2 linked regions of the Struthio camelus genome follow. The protein of the gene in region 1 binds, or shares a complex with, the protein of each later gene. Links are inferred from orthologs where the notes say so. Each region holds a gene or a part of one and is shown in the gene's direction. Other genes may lie near its edges.

Region 1 (7,218 bases):
CTTTTGGGTTTGTGCATTTTGCTAGGCTTGCTGAAATACAGGACTGTCTGGTTGCTCCTACAGTTTGCAGTTCCAGTCACAGGGAACTCAATAGGTAAAAAATATTTCACGTTTGTCAACTCGCTACTTTCAGTCTGAGAGATAAAGAAGCATATGTTGTCAAAGTTTTCTAGTGGCAATGCTCAGGAAAAGCAAACGCTCAGTTTTCGTAATTGCCCGACTGGACGAATGTATCTCGTTTTCTCTGCCACTGAAGATGGCAAAAGCCCATTCCAGAGGATTAAGAACCTCACTAGACTTGATCACTCTGAAGCAAGATGTTTTCCTCTGAATGTGGACTCTCACGCGCACAGGACAGTGTGCATTAAATGGTGTGCCGGACTAAAAAATCTGAGTAATACACACTGAAAAGGAAGTCCACAAGGTGATGAGGTTGATGAGATTTTTAAGCAGAAGTTTGTTATCTGGTTGAGGACTAGACAGTAAAGTTTTTTTTTTTTTTTAAATGTGTCCAGCAAACAAGCTTCCTTAATGTTTTATTTCAGGTGGCATTGATAAAAATCCGTCTCAGTGTCAGTGCTGTGAGCATTACCACAAAACAGTAGGCAGCCTCTTACCCACCCCACACCAGCTGTGTGAATCAGAACATAAGTTCTCGGCACACTGGCCTCGCATCAGCTGTCTTTCATAACATGCATTTATGTATAAAATTAGTGACTCAAAGTATATATCCTTGATAGTGTTATTATCCAAAAGCTCTATTTACATAACCTTTTTTCTACTGTAGTGCTCCAATCTACACTCATGTTTGCGCATCTGTGCATGTGAATAACTTTGTGATCATTTTATGCTAATTCTATTATAAATGATACACATAAAAGTCCCTATGTACAGCATGTTGATAATGTAATTACAACTTACTTTGTATTATTAGTTCCAAAGAAAATAATGTGTTAATGTTGAAAATACCTGTGCCTTGAATTCACTTATAATTTTTATCTATTGTGAAAATGAGCTTGGATTGCTCCTTCTGGTTTATCTTTATTAGGATCAGTCTTACTGTCTAGACTGCTGATGTCCTTTTAAGAGAAGTAAATCTTGCCATTCGTTAACTAAAAGAACAGTTAAACCTTTTATTGAGAATATGCCTACAATGCTTCGATTTTTTACAATGTTATGGCAGATTTACTGTGGAGAAATCAGTATTTTTTTTTCCTGTTTTCTATTTCCTGCACTCCCTCAGTGACAAAGGAGTTTGTCTTTGACTTCCTGTCCTTCATACGTAGTTTCTTGTTTTAGTCAATAGCCTCTACCACATTTCAGAACGCTCTGACTTGCCTGTCCTCAGTAGAGTTTAAAATAAATAAGATGAAGCAATAATATGGTGTAGCACGGCAATATGCAAAATCAAGAGACTTGAATAAAATGTATTATTATTAATTTCATTTGTGTAAATGCTGGACCTGTGGGGCCATTCTCCTTTCGGTGCACCTGTAGCAATTTGGAGTCAGATTAATAGGAACTACTTGGCCATGGAAAGAGAGGTTACCTACTTAACTATTATTCATATGATACTTTCCTTTCACCTGGAATATGTTTTGATTTTTCTTTTTGCTAAGGAAAACAGCGGTTCATTGTATTCCTTGCCAGTTCCTTTATTTACTGAAACGTAAAAGGTTTGGTTCGAACAAGAGCTTAATCTTGTCTTCAAGAGCAATCTGGTACAGCACAAACGAAGCTGAACAAAAAACTGCGGACCACTTAGTGTGTGCCAGACTCAATGCAATGCTATCTGACACGTAACATTAAGGTCTTCAGATTGTGCTGACAGTAGAAAAGTGATTTTGTAATGTAGCACAAAAGCAATAACATTTACTTGTTATATTTAAATATATTTCTTGCATAATTCTTTGAAAGATTTTTTTTTTTAAATCCAATGTACCTAATAAACATTTGCCTTTTGAATAGTTTACTGTGTTTTATTTAGGTCATGAGAAATGCCACGGAGGGGTTTGGTCGTACAAGGAGGAAGCTCTTTCCTGTTCTTCCTAGGTCTTTTATTTGCTGGATTCTGCACCTTTGCAGTGTCTGTATCAACCCATCATTCTTCTGTCTTCCAGTCTGGATGCTTTCATAGCTCATCTTTATGCCTTTGTCATGTAACTTACTATTGACATGAATACAGGTAGTGCAGGCAAGCTAGAGGCTGTGCGAAAAAGGAAAGAGCAAGGAAACTGGGGGAAATGACAAGATGGGATGTAAAATAGTGCTTAGTTCTGGGAATCAGGATCTGGAAAGGATACAAACGGACTCAGAGGGCAAAAGCAATAAGCGAAATCAGGATAAGGGAATGGATAATGGTAGGAAGGTGACCAGTAACACTATAGGTTGGAAAGAGACATGCAGGAAGTTTACTCTTCCCAGATTAGCTCTCCCTTGACCATCTCGAGGTGCCACTTGTAGAACGGCCGATACAGGGCTCGGACAGGGAGAGGGTGGTTCTCTTGCACTTGAACTGACATGACTGTATTTCATTCAATACCACAGTTTTACAGATCACATTCATCTTTCAGTTGTTTTCTAGTGGAATACTAGCTTGTACTCCTGGCATCCTCTTCCTCATAGGACAGTGTGGATTTCAAACTCAGAGCTTGTCCTTCACGTAACCCTAGATGTGTGTCTTGCCTTCTTCCTAAAACCCTTTGTTTTTGGCATTGTGGCAGAGTCAAACAGAGCTTCCTACTGTGATTTTTTCCCTGTGTTCCACTGAGGTCTAACTCGTGAGTCCTTTCCTTGTTTGATGTATTTTGGATTGTGGGTCCTGTATCTTTCAACATAAAACCAAAGCCCTGGGGCCTTGATATTCGATATACTCTGTATCAGAGAGATGTAGAGGAAAAAAAAAATACAAATAACTTTTTAGAAATGGTGGCAGGCACATTTTAATACAACTTAATCGACATGAAGATACTGCTTCATCTGTCTACTGGCAGAGAGGGGCCTGCTAAAGCCTTGAACTGCAGAAAATTGAAGTACTTCCACTAGCTTCAAGAGTTTTGAACCTAGCCCCACAGAGATGAGCGAATCTAAATGTACCATTGAGGCATGTAAAGATTTTTCAGATACCTTATAACATGAAACATAAAACTAACGCCAACAGTTGGACTGCAGTTTGGCAATGTAACTGGATCATTGACCGCAATCAAGGGGCTGTTACTGTGGTGCCAAGAATAAGTTATGACCGAGTGCAATGTTACTGTTCCTGAAAGAAGTAATCTCACATGAAAGGAAATTCAGACTACGATGCAATGGAAATACACTGAGGAATGGGATCCTGTCTGAATATACTTAAAATGTTAAAAATGGACCTATTTCTGTTCCTCTCTCCATTAAGCAGAGAAAAGGAAGAAAATAAATAAAAAACTAAATTATATTCCTGATGAAAATGATACAAATTTGGGTACAAGAACTATCTCAATGGATTGTATTTGTTGCCTGACAGAAAGCCTTTCTAGCAGTGGTCCTGAAACCAGAAAAGGGGGATTTTAAGGTTGGCTCCCTGCACATTGAGCACGCATACACTTGTTTACAATTTGCGGCCTCATAAGAAGTTAGAAAATACATGTAAGAGTTGGCCGTTATCTCATGCTCTTTAGCAGCATGAGTTTAGCATGAGACTACGGCGGCGGAGCGAAGGGCTGCTTGTTGTTCAGGACATCTGACAGCGGTGTTAGGATCTGGTTAAGAAAAAAAAAAAGTGACATTAAATCCATTAGTTTAGTGGGGCAACTGTAGCTGTGATTTGACACGCTGTGAAACACCATGAGCTGTAAAGGTAGGACGTTTGGGAGCGGGGGCGCAGCGAGCCCCTCGGGGGCCGCCGGCAGGCAGCCGCCTCGGGGCAAAGCCGTGCAGCGCCGCTGCGCCTCTCTTGCGCGCTTTTACTACCCGGGGCTCTCAGTCACGCCGGGCCTCACTTGGCGTGCTTTTATTATTATTATTTTCTTTTCTTCTCCTAACCACGCGCCTTTCAGTTCCTACTTTTGTGTCAAAATCTGCCTTCCCCCAGTTGTACTGCTTACTGGCCAATATAGCGGGGCCGCGCCAGTACCTCCGGCGCCTCAGGGGGAGCAGGACGGCGGAGCCTTTCCGCCCCCTTTCTCTGCGCCTCGCCCCGCCCCGCCGCCGCTCTCCGCCTGCGCGGCTCCCGCCCCTCGCGCTGACGGGCAGCGAGGGCCGGGGCCTGCGCTCATGGCGGCGGCTGGCGGCGGGCGCTGAGCGGCGCGCGGCGGGGAGCGGGGCGGCGGCGGCCGCCTCAGCGGAGCGCGGGTGAGCGGCGGCGGCGGCGGCGGGAGGGCGGGGGGGAGGGGGGGAGGAGCGCGCGGGGCGGCGGCGGCGGCGGCGCTTTGTGCGCGCGCGCGTGCGCGCCGGGCGGGTTGGGCGTGGGGGGAGGGGAACAATGCCGGCCGCGCACGTGGGCAGCGGGCGCGCGCGCGTACTGCCGCGCCCCGGCCAACGGCCCTAACGGCCGCCCCGGAGCCGCGGCCGCGCCGAGCGCCCGGCCTGAAGGGAGGGTGCCCTGGGGGGAGCCGCGAGCGCCTGCGGAGGCTCGGGCCGGGGTTGGCCGTGCGCCCCGGCGGCGGGAGCAGCGAGCCGCCGCGGAGGTGAGGAGGGCGTCGTGGGCCGCGGCCTCCCGAGTCCGCCCTGCGGCGGCGGCCGCCGTCGGCTGCGCCCGCGCCCCGGCCCGGCGCGGGGCGGTTGGCGTGCGAGGCGTCTTGCGTGGGCCACCCCTTGCCGAGGCGTGTCGGTGGCCGGCGGGACGCGTGAGCGCGGGTGGGCGACCCCCCTCCTCCCCCCTCCTCCCCCCCCCCCCCGGGCCGGGGCAGCTGTCGGGGAGAGGGGGCTCGGCCGGGCGTGGGGACGTTGTCCCGCGCGGTTCCCCCGCGGTCTAGCTGGGAGGTCACGCTTGTACGTGACCCGTGTGCTGGCGCAGCTTCGCCGGCGAGCCCCCCGCCTGTCCCGGGTAGCGTGGTGTGTTTGTGTCGCTGTGTGTGCGCGTCCCGGCTCGTTCGGGCCGTCAGCGCGCTGACTCTGACCAAGCGCTGCGTGCTGGAGGTGATGGTGCCGCCCCTGAGAAAACACCCCCGATGTACTGAAATTGGTGAGCCAAGCAAGTCTGGACATCCTCTTAAGATCCGCGTGCAGGCATCGCTGAGGATGGGGAACAGGCTGTTGTGACTTTTGCGTCAATGGACGGTGGCTAAATTGGAAGAGAAGTTGCTAATACCAACACCTGCCTTGGCGGTCTTCTCCGGTCGTACGTGCTAACCTTGCATAAAGAAACGTGCCTGCCAGGAGAGGGGCGAGGTGTGTTTGCAGAGCGGCTGTTCAGCGACAGTGAAGGTCACTTCATTTTTCTGCCTTGCCGCTCCATCTTCGCAATACCTTTCCCCACACAGGTTGTGGTGGGCTATGGAGACCAAAGATCGGGAGGCAGTGTAAACTTGTGGACTGTACATAGCGGGACTAGCTCTGAGCTTTGCAGCTGTGGATGGATCTCTAGCAGCTGGGGAAGGAGGTGTTCCAGGAGGTGTTCCCGAGGTCCAAGGCAGGCCTTCTCGCTGTGACTCCTGTCATTTCAGGAGAAAGTTTGAACTCTGTCCGGAGAGTTGCTGTGGGTAATGTCACTGCTTTTATTTTTCCTCTCGGTGCAGTAGTTGAGAGAACATGTCTGGGATCAAGAGAGTGATCGCGGAGAAGGACCCCGACTATGAGGAGATCGCAGTCACACATCCCAATAAGCGTCACAAAGCAGCTGAACAGTCAGGTAGGAACCGTCTGAGTTGCGATACTGTCATGTGTGGAATTAGAAGTGCCACGGATTCAGCAGATTCTGTGCATTTTTCTACAAACAGTTCAGAAAAGGACTTGGACGGGAGCTAAAAGGACAAAGGGCAAGGAAGCTAGCGATATCTCTGTATAGCAAAATGACGGTGTGATTGTCATAGGTGGAGCCATTCATACCTGCTAGCTGAACTGAGCTTCAGTAATGACAGCAGTAAAGCATGTGGTCGCAGACTTCAGCGCATGATAGCAACTAGAGCACAAGCCATCTGGGAGTGCCTGACCGTGTACTTTGGTTCTTGTTGCTTGCTGAAGTATTTGCAGCTGTATCTTCCCAGCTGTTTTCTGTGCTGGGTTATGCTCCTACCTCTGCATTTATTTTGCAGTTGAAACCTGCCCGTAGAAAGACTGGCAGTTAGCTTACGTTTGAGGGATGCAGCAGCTGGTAGCAGTACAGTTTGGGAGAAGAGAACCCCCTGACCCTGGGGCTAGGCTGGCTCTAGGAAAAAGCAAGACAAACAATTGCAAGAGAAAGCAGATAAAATGAAACGAAGTAATGTAGAAGGGATAAGTTAGCGAGAAGGATGGGGCTTTTAAGGGTGCAAAGGAGGAGGAGTAGCTACCTGACTGAAGGAAAGATGGACAAAGAAGCTGTGGCTGGATGAGCAGGTATGCATTTGCCACTGTCAGAAGTGCTTTGGGAACCATCCTGTTGGCTGTGTGCCTAGGTCAGGTTCGAATCTTCTCTGGGCAAGTGAGACTAGAGTCTCTTGCCCCTGGGACAGGGAGTGGGCTGAGTGATATTTGGCATAGCACAGCCAGTGGGAGAGAATCGTGAGGGGAGGAGCTGAAGAAAAGGGAGATGAGAAAAATGGAGCCTGCTGCAGGATCTGAGCAAGATCCAGGAATAGAGCAGGGTGTTGGAGCTGCCAGTTGGAGAGGGACAGATAATGGTTTCACAGGTGGTGTTCTGGAGGACAGTGTACAGCTGGGCGAGTCTGAGGAGACTGAACTTCAGTTTGAATATGCTGCTGGGCAGGTCTTGTCTGCCAGGTTAAGGTCAATTAAGGGCGCTGACGGCAGAGCCCTGTTGGAGCTAGCTATGGCAAAACAGCGTTAGCGCTCCCAGCTGTCTGCCCTGCCTGTCTGCCAGAAGTTGCCACCCTCTGTGGTGTTGAATCCAAGTGACTGCAGACAGATTTTTATCCTGCTTCTGAAGCAACTCCTCAGAAGATCTTAATAGGTAGCAGGCCAAGTCTCAGGGCTCTTGGAGAGCTGTCCTTCCCAAAGTGAACTTCTTGCTGAGGTGATTCTTCCATATTGAGTTCTTCTTCTCGTGGAAGATCTCCAGTTTTCAATACAAGAATTCCGTAA
Region 2 (6,858 bases), on another chromosome or scaffold:
TGCACCCTCAGCAAGTTTGCTGATAACACTAAACTGGGGGGAGTGGCTGATACCCCAGAGGGCTGTGCTGCCATTCCGAGGGACCTGGACAGGCTGGAGAGTTGGGCGGAAAGGAACCTCCTGGAGTTCAACAAAGGCAAATGCGGAGTCCTGCACCTAGGGAGGAATAATCCTATGCACACCAGTACAGGCTGGGGGTTGAGCTGCTGGAAAGCAGCTCTGCAGAGAAGGAGCTGGGCGTGCTGGTGGACAAGTTGACCATGAGCCAGCAATGTGGCCAAGAAGGCCAATGGTCTCCTGGGGTGCATGAGGCAGAGTGTTGCCAGCAGGCGGAGGGAGGTGATCCTGCCCCTCTCCTCAGCCCTGGGGAGGCCACATCTAGAGTACTGTGTCCAGATCTGGGCTCCCCAGTACAAGAGAGACATGGTACTCCTGGAGAGAGTCCAGTGGAGGGCTACGAAGATGATGAGGGGACTGGAGCATCTCTCCTAGGAAGAAAGGCTGCGAGAGCTGGGCCTGTCCAGGCTGGAGAAGAGAAGATTGAGAGGGGATCTCATCAACGTGTACAAGTATGTGAAGGGAGGGTGTCAAGAGGATGGGGCCAGACTCGTCAATGGTGCCCAGGGTGAGGGGCAACAAATAGGACAGGTACAAACAATCACAGGAAGTTCCATCTGAACATGAGGACAAACTTCTTCACTGTGAGGGTGACAGAGCTTTGGAACAGGTTGCCCAGAGAGGTGGTGGAGTCTCCTTTGCTGGAGATATTCAAAGCCTGCCTGGACGCGATCCTGGGCAACGTGCTCTAGAGGACTCTGCTTGAGCAGGGGGGTGGGACAAGATGATCTCCAGAGGTCCCTTCCAGCCTCAACCTTTCTGTGATTCTGTGATTGGTGGATGGGATGCCTTCAGCCACCAAGGGTCTAGCAGGAACATGTACTAAACGTTCCTGAGTGTCAGCTGAAATAAATGGGAGCTGTACTTTGAACACATGGTGTGCTGCAGGATACTGAATGCTCTGAAAAAAGTCTCTCCTTAATGTTTTAGTGAGACATCTAAAATTAAGGGGTGTTTTTGACCTTAATCTTTCCTTGATTAGTATCACTCCTTCGTCTGATAGAGGGGTTCTGAAAACAAATTCATATTTACAAACTGTGGAGGTAACGGACATAAAAGAGTCCATAAGGAAATGAGTGACACCACCATCAGAGCGTGATCTGTGTATCTCAAAGTAAATAATGCCTCAGGCAACAGGAGGAACAAGGGATGTGAAACTAAATACTGAATACCTGGTCAGGATCCATTCCCATTACTGAACGAGATGGCAGTCCCATGGCAAGAGCAGCATGGGAGAGACTGGACTGTAACTCCTGGGCAAAAAAAAGGGGGTGAGTTAAGGGCACAGAAGCAACTCCAGAGTGTGGGATTCTGAGCTTTTAACTTGGAAGCTTGGCGTTCTTCCAGTGTGTCCCTGAAAAAAGCAGTGGTCGATCAGCAAATTAATTCGTATGGTTAGCGCCCCCAGCTTGGTTTATGCATCTCTTTTACTATCTGGAAGAAAATAGGGACTTGCTGCCCTATGCCTGATGTTCCCATTGCTCTGCTGTAGTTGCTCCAGCAGGCTTCCGAGCAGAACAAAAAGCTTCCCTTCCCAGCCTAGCTTCTCAGAGCTTTGAAAAGCCTCGTTCAGCAGTGGTTCTCCTAATCCGCTGACGTCTGCTTCGTTTGCACAACAGCGTTGAGTAGCTTTGGTTGCTGGCGACCTGAGATCGCTTCTGCAACCTTCTGCCTGAGGAAATCCTGCATTTTCCAAGTGCCGGATAACTTATGGACAAGGATGGACAGCCTTCACCCCTGTGGCTGGGAGCGGTCACTGCTGCGGAGGGTATCAGCGTCGCTGCTGTTAAGCCGCTGACAGACAGTTTTGCTGCGTTTCCTAGAGATGGAGGGGTCAAAGGAACGCCGATCAGCGGAAAAACCTTTTTGGAGTTTCTGGGTGACAGAGCCGGTGTCCTCATTTTTTTTAAACCAAAATTTAAATACAATTTTTTTTTTTTCAGATCACTGAGCATTTTGTCCCTTTCCGCACAAAATGCAACCTGTTATTTTCTATCCGTCCTCACACAGCCTCTGCGAACTCTGGGAAGGGGAAAGGGGTTGCAGGGCTACCAGAAAGTTACCATATCATGGGCAAGGGAGGATGCGGGGAACTATTTTCCCCCCAGAGAAGCCGCTCTACTCTCAAAATATATGTCCGATGTATGACTTCAGAGGTGGCTGACCTGTCCTTAGGGGGATGGGTTAGCAAAACAGTTCTCTAGAATTGAGGAGGATTCCCCGAAAAGCTGAGTTTGACACAGATTACATGTTTCTGTTACAGGAGTACTAGGATTACTCAAGATGCTGCTGCTGCAGCAAAGCCCAATCACTTGATTCTTCGTTCTGAGCTCGCAGTTAAACTTTAAATCACTATTCAGAATCAATAGGGCTCAAAGCTTACCTTAGTATTAATAGGGCCCAAAGCTTATCTTTTATAAATGAAATCTGAAATTTTATTTTTATGATCTTGATGTTCAAGTTGGGAAATAATGGCTTCAGGTTTGAGGGAGCCAATTATTTAGATAAAGAAATGAAAATGAGTAACATGGACATTCTTCAGACCTGGTGTAGGGATTATTTCAGTTTTATCTTTACGTAGATTAACAGACTTTTGGCTTTTATAATTTGATATTCCAGGAACTGATTGATTTCAGCTTGCATAAATTTATCTAAATTGATTCAGAAAGCAAACAGGCCTAACCTTAGAGTATAGAAAAAGGAGAGAAGAACTTTTTTGTAGCTCTTTGTCATGTATGAGGTAACAATTATAAAGGTGTCTTTTGCAAACTGTGCGTTTTAGGAGGAAACGTTTTCAGCATCTGAAGGATTGCAGAACAGCTGTATTTTATGAAGGAAAAAGGTTAACCTGCCTGATGCCCTGATTGTTCAGTTACACAGTATCTCTTCACATCTTTGTTGTTATTAGATAGCACTAATGAAGTATTTAGTTTATGAGCTTTGTCTTTAGCAATTAGTAATTTGTAACCTGAATTCAGTGCTTTGAAGGTGATGGGAAGGAACTGCTTTTATTAGATTAATTTCCAGAGAGAGTTTTGATTATTGGCTGACAAACGTGTCTGTATATTTTTAACAAGATAAAGCATTTCTTAAACAAAGCATTCCTATTTTAATCTTAACAGAAGAAAAACACACACTTTTTGGTATTCTAGATGAAAAAGAAAACCCCGTGAGAATTTGTCAAATAATAATTACAAGTATGTTCTAAAACAGCTTCAGGGTCAGTTTTCAAACAAATTATTTGCAGGTGCATTTTGGCACCGGTAAAACAGATCAAATAAATTATTCCTCTTTTTCGTCATTAGGCTAAATACTTTATTCCTAACTCCAGTATCCAATGACTAGCCTTAGTACGTGTGAATCTTTCTCGTTGCTGACTGCAAGCTGGACGTTTTAGATTTATGCGTGTCAGCTGGTAAATCAGGCAGGGGTATCGCACTTCTTAGATTCCCGTCTCTAGTTGTGCTAAAACGTGACTGCGCTCATGTGGCTTGATTTAGATGTGAGCCACTACTGGCTTATTACAATCGTTTGGAGTGTTGCTCTCCTCAGTTACAATATCTCTCGCCTCGTGCACAATATCTTCTGATAAGCATATGACTGCTGCTTTGAAATTGAGTATAACGTCCACAGATTTAAAAGCTACCGCCTGCCCGAGGAGTTCGAGACAGACAGACAGGCAAGGGAGTCGGCATGTTGCTATGTTTGCCTTTGCACTGGCACTTACCTTGCGGTGAGCCAGTTCAGGGAGGTCAGTCAGCAGAGTATGACTTCTTTATGGGGGGGGAGGGGGAGAAGAAAAAAGTGAGCTATTTTCTACTGTTTTATCTGTCTGGGCTGGCTCACCCCTGGGATCAGGTGAGCACTGTTGTGAGTGCAGAGGAGAGCACGGGAATGGAAAAACTAGAGCAAGGCTGGCTTAGGTTGGTTTAAATGGCTGGGGAACACCATCCCAGCTGCCTGTAGCCAGTTTTACTTCTTTTTTCTTCTCCCCACTGTCACACAGATGCTCATATAGATAATAATAAGGAACTGGTAGAAGTTCCAGTTAAGCAGTCTGGTCCGCTTTCAGGACCAGGCTCTGAATTTGCAGGGCAGACTCTGGAAAGGACTGGTCGCGAAGTCTTAAAAGCACTGCAGGAGTGGGTCTGTGTGTGTGCCTGGAGCCCACCAAAGCCGGTTCTTCTCTATACTTCTTTCAGAGTTCAGTCTATGCAGTGTTCGCTGCAGGATCCCTGCCTAAGTGTTGTCACATGCACAAAGTGCTCGAGCAGATGAAATGCTCAGCTTGGGTCACCTTTTCTTCCAGAACTAGTTTCAGTCTTGCCATCTTCTCCATCCTGTGTCTAACCTCATCATCCTCTCCATTCACGTACTGCTGCTGTCTTACCTGTCCCCATCTGGAGCACAGCAACTGGTTCCCGTCTGCTGCCTCCCATTTCTTTTCCCCATCCTGATACATGTCACCACTTTTGGTTCCACCACTTGTTTTTCATTCCCCGTTTCCCTTGGTAAGAAATTAAGGTTAAGCATTTCTCTTGCTTACCGGAGTAAAGAAAACTTTCCAGGAGCAGAGAGAGACGAAAGGGTAAGGAGGAAACAAAGGCTAGCTGGAATTTTCTTAGGGCTTTTCAAACCCTTTTGGGGGCTTACCGGTCAGTTTGAGAACTGCTGATTGATTCTGCACATTTCATTCTTAACGAACATTTTAGGTAAAGGTTATTTTTTTTAATTAAGTGCCTTGCTTGATTTCAAGAGCTTGGCATAAGCACGCTAGGGACTTTTATCAGACTTCTAGCAACATCTTACCAGGTTTTTTTTAGGAGTAAGATATAAGCAGAAAGAAGCAGAATAAGGCAAAATTGTTTCTGATTTGCCACAAAATTCTCTTCAAGCGGAAGAGAAGTTTTGGAGAGATTCGTTCAATTTCCATAAAGATTTAGGGCAGAGTTACTGATACATAGCACTTCTTTGCTCAGTAGCTTTACCACGTCGTAAGTGCACCCATCTGAAGTGAGTACAAACCAAGTATTAGCTTATCAGCCTCAGATGTCAGCTACTGTAGTTTTAGATTCAGACAACAAAGTGGCTGTGGCTGAAGGCAGCGGAGAACTGAAGATTTGCAAAGGTAATATGATTAACAGCGCTGCCAGAGGGGTTGGAGCCCAGGTGGAGATTAGTCGTATTCAATATCAAGCAGGCTGTGATGAACCCTGTCTCTTGTATTTTCAGAGGCTGCACAGAGGAGTTCTCAGAGACCTTGAGCGACTGAGTCAGAAAGAGCAAAATATTCGCCTTTTAGAAGAGCAGATCGCTTTGACGAAGCAGCTCAAAGAAGAAAGAGACAAGACGCTAATGGAGAAAGGGTCCCAGCAGTCCTAGGCACGGTCCTGACCCCTGAGAGTGTGGACTGAAGGCAGTTGGCCAGGTTTGCTATCTGACAGCCCACAAGTAAGCGGAGGTAATCTGTGAAAGACCATTTCTTTCACATACATTCTAATACAATTCAAAAAACTATAGCGCCTCTATCTTCAGCACTTTCACGAGCGGAGACTTGACTGGCACATGCAGTGGGGATGGTCTTGTGAATGTGAGGAGGAAGGGCTCCTTGTAAAGTAAGCACCATCTTCCTTTATGTGATAAAGGATGGCTAATAATGTTCACATGAGCGGGCTGCTGAGTCGCCATGATGATGAAGCGACAAGGACGTCGACCTCCGAAGGCCTGGAGGAGGGTGAGGTGGAAGGGGAGACGCTCCTGATTGTCGAGTCTGAGGATCAAGCCTCCGTGGATTTATCGCATGATCAGAGCGGAGACTCTCTGAACAGTGACGAAGGTGATGCATCTTGGATGGAGGAGATGTCCTATTATTGTGAGAAGTGTCAGAAGTGGATACCAGCAAGTAAGGATGCTGTTTTTATTATTTCTTGTAGCGCTTCCCATTTCCAGTTTGCTTTATTACGGTTGCTATGTTCCCCCAAAATACAGTGTGTGGGTCTCGCCTGGTCTCATGAGGCATGAGGCAAGGTGGTCATGCTGTCCATTTTAAAGAATAGCTCTATTTAGCCTTATTCTGTCATTGGGAAGAAATGCTGTTTTGGCATCACATGGAGCCCAGTAGCCGAAAGCCATTTGTTGTGTTTGTGTGCATCAGGCGCTTACACCCATGAACCCCATATGGGTATCCAAAACTGGCATTCCCCAGTAAAAAAAATGGGACTGTTGGATCTGCTAAACAGAAAGCAAGGGCAGGACTTCGGAAATGCGAGCACGCATTCAAGTTCTGTTGTCAGTGTGTTAGGGGACTTTAGCCAAGTGACTTTGCATGTCGCTCAGCAGAGAGGTAAAGGCAGTGACTGTTTCTATAAAGGTCTATGGGTGAAAAGGGTTCTGTAGGTGGTGGTCTTTTTGTCTTTCTTTTTCTTTATTTTTCCTGGCTAGTTTGTCACATCTGTGGAACATAAGACTAACTCTCAACCTTAATGATTTCCTAAGAACGTGAATTTAATGTAGGTTTCACAGAGGCGTGTTAGGCCTGTAGCAGCTAGCTTTCGGAGGCGTTTGAAGCAGGTTGGATCACTTGATCTCTCCGCTCCTGCTATTTGACATAAGATACATGCTGTTAGCTGAGAAATAGAAGAGATGTTACTTTCCAAAATCTAAATGATTGAATCTACTATTATATCTAAAACCTACGTATTGCTACCTGCTGTTTGTTGGTGGCTAGAAGTAGTGAGCTCT

Evidence for each region.
Region 2: YEATS2 (region 1) and KAT14 share a complex: the UniProt entries of both Homo sapiens proteins name them as parts of the ADA2A-containing complex. The link is inferred for Struthio camelus from reciprocal best matches to the Homo sapiens genes YEATS2 and KAT14.

The regions. Positions count from the first base shown.
Region 1 is NC_090950.1:7,909,986-7,917,203, forward strand, and holds the start of YEATS2 (YEATS domain-containing protein 2), read left to right. Parts: upstream 1-4,212; 5' UTR 4,213-4,329; intron 4,330-4,506; exon of another isoform or gene 4,507-4,664; intron 4,665-5,714; 5' UTR 5,715-5,727; coding exon 5,728-5,827; intron 5,828-7,218. UniProt on the Homo sapiens protein: Chromatin reader component of the ATAC complex, a complex with histone acetyltransferase activity on histones H3 and H4. YEATS2 specifically recognizes and binds histone H3 crotonylated at 'Lys-27' (H3K27cr).
Region 2 is NC_090944.1:146,949,621-146,956,478, reverse strand, and holds the start of KAT14 (cysteine-rich protein 2-binding protein), read left to right. Parts: upstream 1-3,847; 5' UTR 3,848-5,245; intron 5,246-5,349; 5' UTR 5,350-5,763; coding exon 5,764-6,019; intron 6,020-6,858. UniProt on the Homo sapiens protein: Component of the ATAC complex, a complex with histone acetyltransferase activity on histones H3 and H4. May function as a scaffold for the ATAC complex to promote ATAC complex stability. Has also weak histone acetyltransferase activity toward histone H4.